Linked DNA regions of Mus musculus. The protein of the gene in region 1 binds, or shares a complex with, the protein of each later gene. Links are inferred from orthologs where the notes say so. Each region holds a gene or a part of one and is shown in the gene's direction. Other genes may lie near its edges.

Evidence for each region. The genes of interacting proteins can lie anywhere in the genome.
Region 2: Polr2l (region 1) and Ubtf share a complex: the UniProt entries of both Homo sapiens proteins name them as parts of the pol I pre-initiation complex. The link is inferred for Mus musculus from reciprocal best matches to the Homo sapiens genes POLR2L and UBTF.

The regions. Positions count from the first base shown.
Region 1 is NC_000073.6:141,471,569-141,476,764, reverse strand, and holds Polr2l (DNA-directed RNA polymerases I, II, and III subunit RPABC5), read left to right. Parts: upstream 1-1,611; 5' UTR 1,612-1,642; coding exon 1,643-1,737; intron 1,738-3,360; coding exon 3,361-3,469; 3' UTR 3,470-4,905; downstream 4,906-5,196. UniProt on the Homo sapiens protein: DNA-dependent RNA polymerase catalyzes the transcription of DNA into RNA using the four ribonucleoside triphosphates as substrates.
Region 2 is NC_000077.6:102,315,883-102,321,293, reverse strand, and holds the start of Ubtf (nucleolar transcription factor 1), read left to right. Parts: upstream 1-2,197; 5' UTR 2,198-2,446; intron 2,447-3,238; exon of another isoform or gene 3,239-3,712; intron 3,713-4,006; exon of another isoform or gene 4,007-4,120; intron 4,121-4,588; exon of another isoform or gene 4,589-4,820; 5' UTR 4,821-4,887; coding exon 4,888-4,945; intron 4,946-5,411. UniProt on the Homo sapiens protein: Recognizes the ribosomal RNA gene promoter and activates transcription mediated by RNA polymerase I (Pol I) through cooperative interactions with the transcription factor SL1/TIF-IB complex.

The DNA.
Region 1 (5,196 bases):
GAGAGGATGCCACCACCCACGATAGCCACTGGAAACTGTGGGCTTGCGCGCGCGCGCGCACACACACACACACACACACACACACACACACACACACACACACACACGGGAATTCCAGGAATGTCAACTTGGCACAGGCTTCTACTCCCCAACTCTCCCTAAGTAAACAAGTCTTCCAGGGGCCGGACCGAACTGAGAGCCCCTCCTCCAAGCCTTTGGCCTCCACCCCATCCCCTAGGGCAGACCCTACAGACCATCTCCTATCCCACTCCCCTGCCACCCTCACCTCTGGCCACCAGCAGTCTTCAGTCCAGATCTTGAGCCTGATCCCAGGCCACAGTGACTCACAGGCCCCCACTGCCCCCTCTGGCCAGGGCAGGATGTTGGGGGGAGGGGACAGGACCGGGAAGTCGCCTAGCTCGTGGCTCTGCACGTGGCTCCATGGGGGATGGCAAAAGCTGCCAGGGAGGCTGTCCAGGGTGACATCGGGGGCACAACCACCAAGCTGGCCAGTGGCTCCGACCAGCCACACTCAAGACCCAGGAGACCCCTCCCGACCTCCCCTCCATCGTTTGTTTCCCAGAGGCACCTGGAAAATGTCTAGGACCCCCCAGAGCCTTCACTGTAACCAGATCTCAAACTTCCCAAGCTCTATCGAACTTCTCCAGCTTCTCACTGCAAGCTGCCTCGTTTTCCTAAGGGTAGCTCCCAACACACAAGAAGGCGGCCAAGGTGATACACTCCCCAGAAACCAGCTCCTTGCCCATTCCCTTAAGTCCTTAAGTCACGTCCAGGTGAGGCAGACCTGTGGCCACTAGCAGTCTCGCACGCAATCTCCGCGTCTGAGCCAAATATCCCGGGAAAAAGAGGTTAGAAGGTCTGTTCATAGGGTGCCTCCTCCATGACGCCTTCCCGGACCACCGCCCTGCTCCTCTCCCCAGGAAAAGACCCTTCTCAGAGGAGAGGACTGTACTGAGCGCGGGAGGCCGCCGTCGGGGCTCGGGACACCGTACCGCCGACGGTTCTGCAGCGGCCGAAGAGAAGGACGCCCCAAACTCCAAGGCCCGGACTCTGCCTGGGCACCTCGGGTAAGGGCTCCAGACCGAGACCCCTTGGAGTCCGGGCCAGGAGGCGGGAAGACCGCCTTGGCCGTGGACAGTCGGCAGCCCGCTCTCCGGCTGCGCCACCACCACTTGTTAACCACCTCTTGGCTCCAGTCGGCTTGCGATCCGGCCAGCGGGACCCCAGCCCGCTAGAACCGCCGTACCTGTGCGCGCCGCCGCACGGCGGAGCAGCTGTCAGTCAAGGCAACACGAGAAACGCGAACCGCCGGCCGCGGACCTTTCGGCCTTGCTCGGACGCCGTAGCGCCGGGATCTACCACCACAGCGGGAGGGGGGGGACCGGGATGCTGCCGCGGGCTCGGAGGCTCTCGGAGCCCCGGGTGGGCACGAGCAAGGAACACCGCCGCTTCAGGGTAATCATGGGAGCCGGGGCAGGGCTGCGGCGGGATTCAGGGAGATGCGGGGCGGGGCTCTGGATCTTACGGGGCGGAGCTAGGGCGTAATGAGCCCCGCGCTATGGGCGCGCCTGGGGCGGGCCTTGAAAAGCTACTGCCGGCAGCCTGCACGCCAGACGCCGCCATGATCATCCCGGTGCGCTGCTTCACCTGCGGGAAGATCGTCGGCAACAAATGGGAAGCCTACCTGGGTCTGCTGCAGGCCGAGTACACGGAGGGGTGAGACGGCGGGCCGCGGGGGATGGGACAGGACGGGAAGGCTGGACTGGGGGCATGAAGTCGAGGGGCAATGGGGAGGGTTCTGCGGCGGACCGGGAGTGAAATTGAGGTGTCCTGGGCCGGGGGTAGATAAGATTTCCTATGGAGAATTGGCAGGGCAGGGGTTGTGGGGTCTAGTGAGAAGACTGGATGTCCTCCAGCCCAGACCTGTGATGTATTCCCAGAAGAGTGAGTCTTTAGTTTGTTTTCGAGGCAGGATTTCGGTGGCTGACCTGAATTCTCTATGTAAAGCAGTCTGGTCTGAAACACTTCGAAATCCTGCCTGTCTCCTGGATGTTGGGATTAAAGGCGTGCAATATCACGCCCAGGCTCTCAGAAGTTTGGAAGGTGGTTTTCTTCAAGTTGCTGGCCTTTGGGAAACTTCTAAGCATCCTTCCCGTGGGTGACACCTCAAGTCTCTTCCCTGTCGACCTACTCTCTATCCTCTATCTGCTTTCCGACCTACCCCTTATGTACTTCGAACCTCGTGGGCCCTTTAAAATGCAGGACAGGCTTTGTGGGCATCGTCTTGTGCTCACTACTATGACTGTCCCCCAAAATAGACCTCTGGCCACCATGTCAACACCAAGGGGTTCTCTTTCTCTGCACAAGCCATAAGTCAGTGGGGCTTAATGAGCAGCTATTAGATCAGCTCTGATGAGTAGCTGCTAGCCTTCTGGGACCCTCTTTCACTTGGGCAGGAACCTCTCAAGCTGTCTAGGTCCCAGAGAAATTAAATCTAGTGTGAGTTCAAAGCCTGTGGGGTAGCAACAACCAGTTCATGGCGTTTAGTCAGAGTCCACCTGTGGGGCCTGGAATTGTACTCCTTGATGAGGGGATATTGGTCTCCTAAGCTTTCCCAAATAACCCTGGAAGCCCATAACCCTGGGTACAAGAGACAAACGCAGAGATACAGGGGGTTAGAGAGATGGCCCAACTGTTTTTTTTGTTGTTGTTTTGTTTTTCAAGACAGGGTTTCTCTGTGTAGCCCTGGCTGTCCTGAAACTCACTTTGTAGCTCAGGCCGGCCTCGAACTCAGAAATTCACCTGCCTCTGCCTCTACCTCCCAAGTGCTTGGGATTAAAGGTGTGCACCACCACACCCAGCTAGATGGCTCAACTGTTAAGAGCACTGGCTGTTTTGTGTGTTTGGTTGTTTGATTGTTTTTTAAGAGGACTCAGGTTCCGTTCCTTGAAGCAACATGGTATCTCGCAAGTGTCCGTAACTCCTTTGGGCTTTGGGAGCATCAGGCACCCATACACATAAAACGAAATTTTAAAAAACAGGTGTAGGCAGAAGGCTGTTAAGGATGGATACAGGATGCTATGGGAGAAGACTGGCACATGAGCAGGTGTAACTTCTAGGTGGGGAAAGGGTCACCTGGCTCCTCCCTGAGCATCTAGATACATATTTCAGAAATCTCCAGGCCATTTCCCTATGGCCTGGTGTCAGGTTTCAATCGCTGATTATGTAGATGTGCTCTGGTAACCCCTATCCACACGAATACCCAGAGGCAAGCTGGAGGTGGTTCCAAACCTATCCAGACTCTAGAGACCACATCCAGCCTCACTCTTCTCTTTACAGGGATGCCCTGGACGCTCTGGGCCTAAAGCGCTACTGCTGCCGCCGCATGCTGCTAGCACACGTGGACCTGATTGAGAAGCTGCTGAACTATGCACCCCTAGAGAAGTGACCGCTGGAGCCTGCCCTCCTCTGTCTCCTGCTGGCCACGGGCAGCCTGTCGTGCTATGTTCAAACTGAGCTATTGGGGATGTTGGTGTATTGCCTGGCTGTGGCCCTGTGGCTAAGTCCTGTTACCCTGGAAGGAACTGTTTAGTAAAGATGTTTGCAGAACCACCAACAGGTCTAACTTCCAAGGTGCTCCATGTCCATGTCTGTGCTGTCTCTGAGGCTACCTGGCCTGCCTCCAGTCTTTCCCCTAGGGCTGGTCTCCTTCCCCTTCATCTGACTGGGAGTCTCGTCCTGTGGAGGAGTACCCTGCTTCCGTTCCCCGGGGCCTTGACCACTTTGATCAACGAGGTAGCCCTACAGTAGTCTTGTACCACATTGCTTTAGGGCCTCTCCGCTTCCTGCCTGTGTTCAGGATGGGCATAATGGATGTGGGCACCACACCATCCACAGGTATGGATGGGCCCAAGCCTGGTGACAATATTCCTTTGGAATGCTGAGCGTGCTTGGAGGTCCCAATCCTTGTGCTAGGGTTATTATGCATTTGGGTATTTGGTCTGCTTATAAGTCTTTGTATCACTGTGTCCCCACAGAGGCCAGATCCCCTGAGAGTAAAGTTATAGAATGTATAAGCTGCCATCAGGTATTGGGAATCAAACCCAGATTTATTTACCTTTCATTTTCCAAGACAGGGTTTCTCTGTTTGGCCTTGACTATCCTGGAATTCAACTCTGCAGACCAGGCTGGCCTTGAACTAAAGAGATCAGTCTCTGCCTCCCGAGTGTTGAGTTTAAAGGACGGCTTGTGCCACCCAACCAAACCCAGATACTGTAGGAGTACGCCCAAGGCCACAGGCCTCACGAATTTCTTGGGTCCTAAAGCCCATCAGCTGTGTGAGCCTATCTGCTGCCCATGCCTGAGGATCTTGTTTCCAGAATCTTCCCAGGCCCGACAGCTAGGCAGCCCTGCCCCTTGACCCAATCCCCACAGCATGTAGTCCTAAGAAGCCTACTCTAGGCCAAAGGAGGTGGTGTAGTGCTTTAGCTCCTAGGCATCTGCATCAAGTACCCCGGGTTCTTTCTAGCACATTGATCCCTTTGAGAATTTTGGTGGGTTTTTTTGTTTTGTTTTTTGAGACCAGCTTTGGCTGGTTTGAAACTCACAACAGTCAGCCTGCCTTTACCTCTTGGATTCTGGGATTAAAGGTGTGTGTGGCATAGCATACCCACCCTACCCCACCCCTGGTTTTTTGTTGTTTTAAAGAAAAAGGCGGGCTGGTGAGATGGCTCAGTGGGTAAGAGCACCCAACTGCTCTTCCAAAGGTCCAGAGTTCAAATCCCAGCAACCACATGGTGGCTCACAACCATCCGCAACAAGATCCTCTTCTGGAGTGTCTGAAGACAGCAACAGTGTACTTACATATATTAATAAATAAATCTTTAAAAAAAAAAAAAAAAGAAAAAGGCTTTGCCTTAGGCTAGAGTCCAGAGAACCCATAGTGGCCTCCTCCAGCTGGCACAGAAGACTGTGGGGAACAAAATCAGCTTAGGACCTCTTCTCAGCTGCTTAGATGAGCTAAAGCCAGAGAAACAGGAGCCAGGGCATCCCCAACAGGCCCTGGTGCCTCCCTTGCCCTCTGACCCTAGCAAGGCCTACAGACTCTTCCTTGAGCATGGACAAGTCCAGGCCACAGTGGGCTGGGGGGATGTTCCAGCTACCAGTGCTCACCCT
Region 2 (5,411 bases), on another chromosome or scaffold:
AGAAAACGGACAGAGGGAAGAGAGGAAGGGAGTAAAAGCAAGCGAAGGGGATAGACTCTTTAATAAAAAATAAAATATTAAAATCTCAGCAATTGGGAGGCAGAGGCAGGCAGATCTCGGGTTAAGTGCGAGGCTGGCCTGGTAAACAGAGCTAGCTCTAGGAGAGCCAAGGCTACACAGAAAAACCCTGTCTCAAAAATCCAAACGAAACAAACAAAATAATTTAAGAACAGACTCTTCAGTAGGTCATCCAAGGAAGAGGCCTTGAAGGCTACCCTTCTTTATCACGGCCAATCTGCCTCTCCTACACGCGGTGCTTCTAAGCTGAGCACAGCAGATCTGTTCCTGCAACGTGGCAGAGTGGGATGTGGAAATCCTGGGAAAGAAATCTCATTTTCCCCAGGAGACAAGAGGAATTACACCAGCAACGAAACTGTGGATGGAGAAGGCAGTGTGCCAAGAAATGGTCCAAAGAGACTGTGCGACCCAGCTGGCTGAGATGTGAGCAACAGCAGTGTTATTGTGGCAGCCCGAGGAGCCAGGAGCCATGGCGTGTCCCGGGGAGTGATGACACAAACCAAGCGTGGGCCGACCTGGTGGAAACCAGCGTCCTTCACATTGCCTTCTGCCTCCCTACAACTAATCCTGATATCCCTTCAGCCCACTAGCAGGGGAGGTAAAGACCACTAGAACCGATGGCAGTGGGAGGTTAAAAAGCGGCACACGCCCAGGCCTTTTCTCCCCAGACTTGCTGGATGGTGGAATACGGGAGGTTAGATCTGTGGTTGCCGGGCTGCTCAAATCCTGCCTTAAACCGGGGTGCGGAGCTCTCTTGTGGGCTCCCCGTCGTCGCCGGGGTGGGGGGACAGCGCCCGCGGCCTGCTTTCTCAGGGCTGGCCAAGCCTTTTTGACAAGCTGATTGCGAGAAGGGGATTGGCTGATCCAGGCGTGACGCCGGTAACAACAAAGGTGGAGTTGGAAGAAATTAGATTAAAGGAAAGGAGGAGAAAAAAAAAAAATTAAAGGGGGAGCTTGCAGGCAACTGGAAGCAGAGACCGAGGGGGAGACGCACGAAGCTCCGTTCCCGGTTCCGACTTCCCCCTTCCAGCTCTTTCGCACAAACGCGCTGGGATTTTGCTCTAAACCCCTACCCCGGTCGCGGCCTAGTTACTGAAGCCCAGGGTAAAGGGATGGCCGTTCCGCTGCTTCTTGAAAAACCTCCCCAACTCCCACTGACACCCTACTACGACACAGGGGTGAACTTTTTGTTCTTAACTCCTCGGATCATACGGCCGGTGAAGATGGGGGACATCGAGAACAACCCAAGACTGGCTCTGAAATCCGGAAGGCCCTCGCCGGGCACCGAGACCCAAACGAGGCGGGGTACTTCCCGGGTATTTTCATACGTTGCAAACCTAGGAGGCTTTTTTTTTTCCCTTTTTCTTTTTTGTAACATTCCCCTTCGCCCCCATCCCGCTTTAGCTTCAGGGTTGCAAAAGCAAAGCAATAAAAAAAAAAAAAAAAAGAGAGAGAGAGAAAACCTGCGCACACAGACACACACCAGTGGCGACAGGGGAGAGTTGGAAAAACGCAGGAGAGGAGGAGGCAGGAGACAGCAAGGATGGAGCAATGGGAGAGGGAGCAGGCAGGATCCCTCACAGATCCCCCTCCGGCCTCAAGCTGCCTTGCCCGCCCCGACAGGAGAGCGAGGAGTCGGGCAAGCAGATGGAGTGGAGCTCGCTCTAGGCAGCTGGCTTGGCCGGAGACTGGAGGAGCCGCCAAGCGACCGGCTGATTGGAAGAGAAACGCAGAGCGATGGAGGCGGGGGTAGGAGGACGATTTCTCTGCGGGGACTGGCGGCGGCGTACACGCCCGGGTCGGGCGCTGCAGAGCTTGGCTAGCTTTCAACCCGCGCTCGGCGGCTCCAGCCCCGCGCACCCCCGCCCCCAGCCCTGCCGGAGGCCCCGCAGGTGAGTGGGAGCTGGGAGCCAAAAAAGAGCTAAATGTCGAAAAACATCTGCCTTGGAAAAAAAAAAAAAAGCAAAAAACATTTTTTTTTTTTTTTTTTACTATTCCTTTTTTTAAAATTTCGTGCAGCCCCCGAGCGGTGGGAGGGAAGGGGTGAGGCTGAGCCGCCCGGAGGAGGCGGAGGGGCCAGGCGAGGCCGGGGCGGCCCGGGAGGCGGCGGCGCCAAGGCGGCTCTGACGGGCGAGCGCTCGGAGCGGCGCTGCGCTGCGCTGCGCCGAGGCGGGCGGGCGGGCGGGCGGAGCGGGGCGGGCGGAGCGCGGCGCGTGGGGCTCGCCATTAGCCGTCGCTCCGCTTCGCCATCTCGGGCTTTGTCTGGAGACTCGCTGCCCGGGCGCCGGCAGCTGCGGAGCTGCGGCTCGGCTCTTCCGCTTGCCGTGCTGCCTGGCGCCCCCGGCCCTCACTAGCACCCACTTGCTCGGTAAGTAAGCCTCGGTGCCGCGGATTTCGGGGGAAAGGGGTTGCTCTCTGGCGGCGCCAATCTCCGTCCTCCACGCGCCCGGGAAGGCCTGGATAGCCATGCCGGGCTGGATTGAACCGGCTCCCAGAGTGACTCTTCCGCTGGGGTCGGCAGCTCCTGGCCGATTCCCGGGTGTGAGGAGGGACGGGAGAGGTTTTTGTTGTTTAGGGGACTAAGAATATATATTTTAAGTTTCACGGGTGTTCTGCGGAGCATAAGGGAACCGAGAGGTAGGCGCCGAAACCTCGCACCGCGATCCGGGAGCGTGAGTCCCAAGCCGGTAGCCACGCTCCGGGGACCAGGGTGGTCGCTAGCCCGCTCCCGGAGGCGGGAGAGAGGAGCAGATGAGGACTAGGCCGGGAAACCGAGCTTAAGCTGGGAGAGCCTGGAAGAGAGCTCCAGAGCAGGGTTGCCGGCACCCGCGAGGCTCGCCGGCCACCCTCTCCACCGCCGCACCTCGGCCCTCCCTTCCTCCCGCGCCGGCCAAGCCTGCTAGTTCCCCCGCGGGGCTGGCGAGGTCGCTTTAGCCGCCCGCTTGCTCGCCCGCCTCGGCTCGCAGCCCCGCCGCCATCCGGGCGGCTGCGTGTCTTCCCTGTCCCGGCCCCCCCCTTCCCCGGCGGCAGCAACAGCAGCAGCCGCCGCCGCCACTACCACCACCCCCCTCCCCTCCTTCCTTGCCTCCGCCTCGGCCGCCCGGGTCCCCCCAGCGCCCGCCCCTCCTCCCAGCTGCCCCCCGCGGAGCCCGCCCGGGCAGGCTGTGGGAGGGAGCGGAGCCGGCGAGGCGGGCGGGCTGGCGCTCGCTCCCCGGGGGTCGGTGTGCGCTCTACGGGGAAGGACGCGCTCGCTGCCCCGCTTCTCCCGCCCCCCCTCCCGCTCCTCCTCCTCCCTTCTCCCTCCTCCCCGCTCCGGCGGCGGAGGCTGCTGCGGCGGCGGGGGGTGTGCGAGCTGAGGCCGGGGCCGGCGGGCGGGCGGGCGGGCTGCCTGCAGGCGGAGGGCGCTGTGCTTTGTGCTTTTCGCCGCGAGGAGCAGCAGGCAGCAGCCACAGCCGCCGCCGCCACAGCAGCAGCAGCAGCCGCCGCCCCAGCGCCGCCGCCGCGCCCGGAGGAGGAGCCGCTGCCGCCGCGGGAGGGAGTTGCGGCTGTGCCCGGCCGAGCGGGGGAGGGCGCCGCGCTCAGAGCCGAGAAGGGAGCCGCCGGAGCGGGGAGCTCAGAGGCCGCGCTGCGCCGGGTAACCGAGGCGGCGGAGGACGTGCGCCGGGGCCGGGGCTAGGGAGCGAGCCGCGGCTGCGGTAGACGCCGAGTGGCGATACCGGGAGAACTGTAGACAAGATGATCAGGGAACGGGGAAGGGCGCCGTGAGCCGGGGGTAGGAAGGGCAGGAAGCGAGGCCCAAGTGAGGCCCCGGGTGGAGGAGCCCGCGTTTCTCCGGCCGACAGGCGCAGTTCTCGCCGGCCGCCGGAGGGGGCGGCGGGGCCGGTGAGCGAAGCGCCCCCGCCTCGCGGCCGCCGTCCTCCCGCCCTCTGCTTGGCTCGGCTCCCCGGAGGCCGGGGCGGGGGCGCCGGCAGGGCTGGGCCGCAGGCTCGGGGAGGAGGCGGCCGTTCCCGCCGCGGTCGCGCCTCTGCGCCGGGTTTCTTCCGTGCGTGTTGGGGTGGCTGGGTGGTGGCGGCGGCGTCTCCGGCCCCGGGTGGTTCGGGGACGGGGGACAAGCTAGGCCGCTTCTCCGACTGCTCGCCTGCCCGGACAGGCGGGGACCGCGTTGGGAGGTCGGGAGGGGGGTAGCAGCGGGAATCCAGATCTAGTCCCCGGGGGCGGTCCGGCCGCTGCGCTCCCGGGCTGGCGGCGGCTGCGCGGCGTCCGGGTCCCCGCCGGGTTGCGGAGGCGGGGGGAACCGGCCGGGGAAAAGCGGGAGGAGGAGACTGAGGCGCGTGCCCGCTTCCATGCCCGCGCGCGCCCTTTACCCGCCCTTCCTCCCCCGCCCTCCAGCCTGGGGCCTCCCCGGGGCGGGCGCTCACCGAGGAGGAGGAGGAGGAGAATTTTTTTTTTTTTTTTTTGCCCGGGTGGGGGAAGGAGGCCGGAGGGCGGGAGCTAGCTGCACGCGGGAGCTGGGAGCAGTCTCTCGCGTGGGCAGGGGAGGGCGCATGCGGCACCGCCTGGCTCTGGGGGCTGGGGTAGAGAAGAGTGGGGCTCACTCCTGCACCCACTGATGAAGTCTATGAGCCTCCTGTTCGGGTCTCGCTGAGAGTGTGGACCTATGCCCCCTCCCATGTGTGAGGGGGTGGGATAGAAAGCCCCCCTCCTCTCAGCCTCCTTAAGTGGGTTTGGTGTCTCTTCAAAAGGGTGAGGTGGCTTTGACCCCGGGTGGCCCGGCCAGCGCGACCGAGGAGGTGGCTGGACAGCTGGAGAATGAACGGAGAAGCGGACTGTCCCACAGACCTGGAAATGGCCGCCCCCAAAGGCCAAGGTATGGGTCCCCAGCTTCTCTTTTCAAACTTGTCTTTTTTCACACACGAGCTCTCCAGCCTTGTAAAAGGTTCCTCTCAGGCTTCGTTCTGTGCACTGGCAGACAGTCTTAAGTCTTAGAAAGTGAAGCATCTGTCACATGGGGGTTTGGCCAAATCCAAATTACTTGGCCTTGAGCTTAGAACTTGAGTCTTTACGATCTCTTGCTATGAATGAGGGTCACAGGGAAGACTCTTGGAAGCCAGCCTTCTTGGTTTCTTAGCTTGAAGTATCACACCTTAGTGGAGATTTTCACTAGAGGCAGGTGGAAAACAGGGAAGGGGATTGTGGTTTATGGCTCCAAGCCTTAGGAATTATAGATGCCCCGACCCTAGCCACCTCTGTCAGCAGTGTTATGTTTATGACATGGAGGGTAGTAGGAAACTGGGCATCTGCCAATGTTTGTGAGACATCAGGGGAGAGAGGAT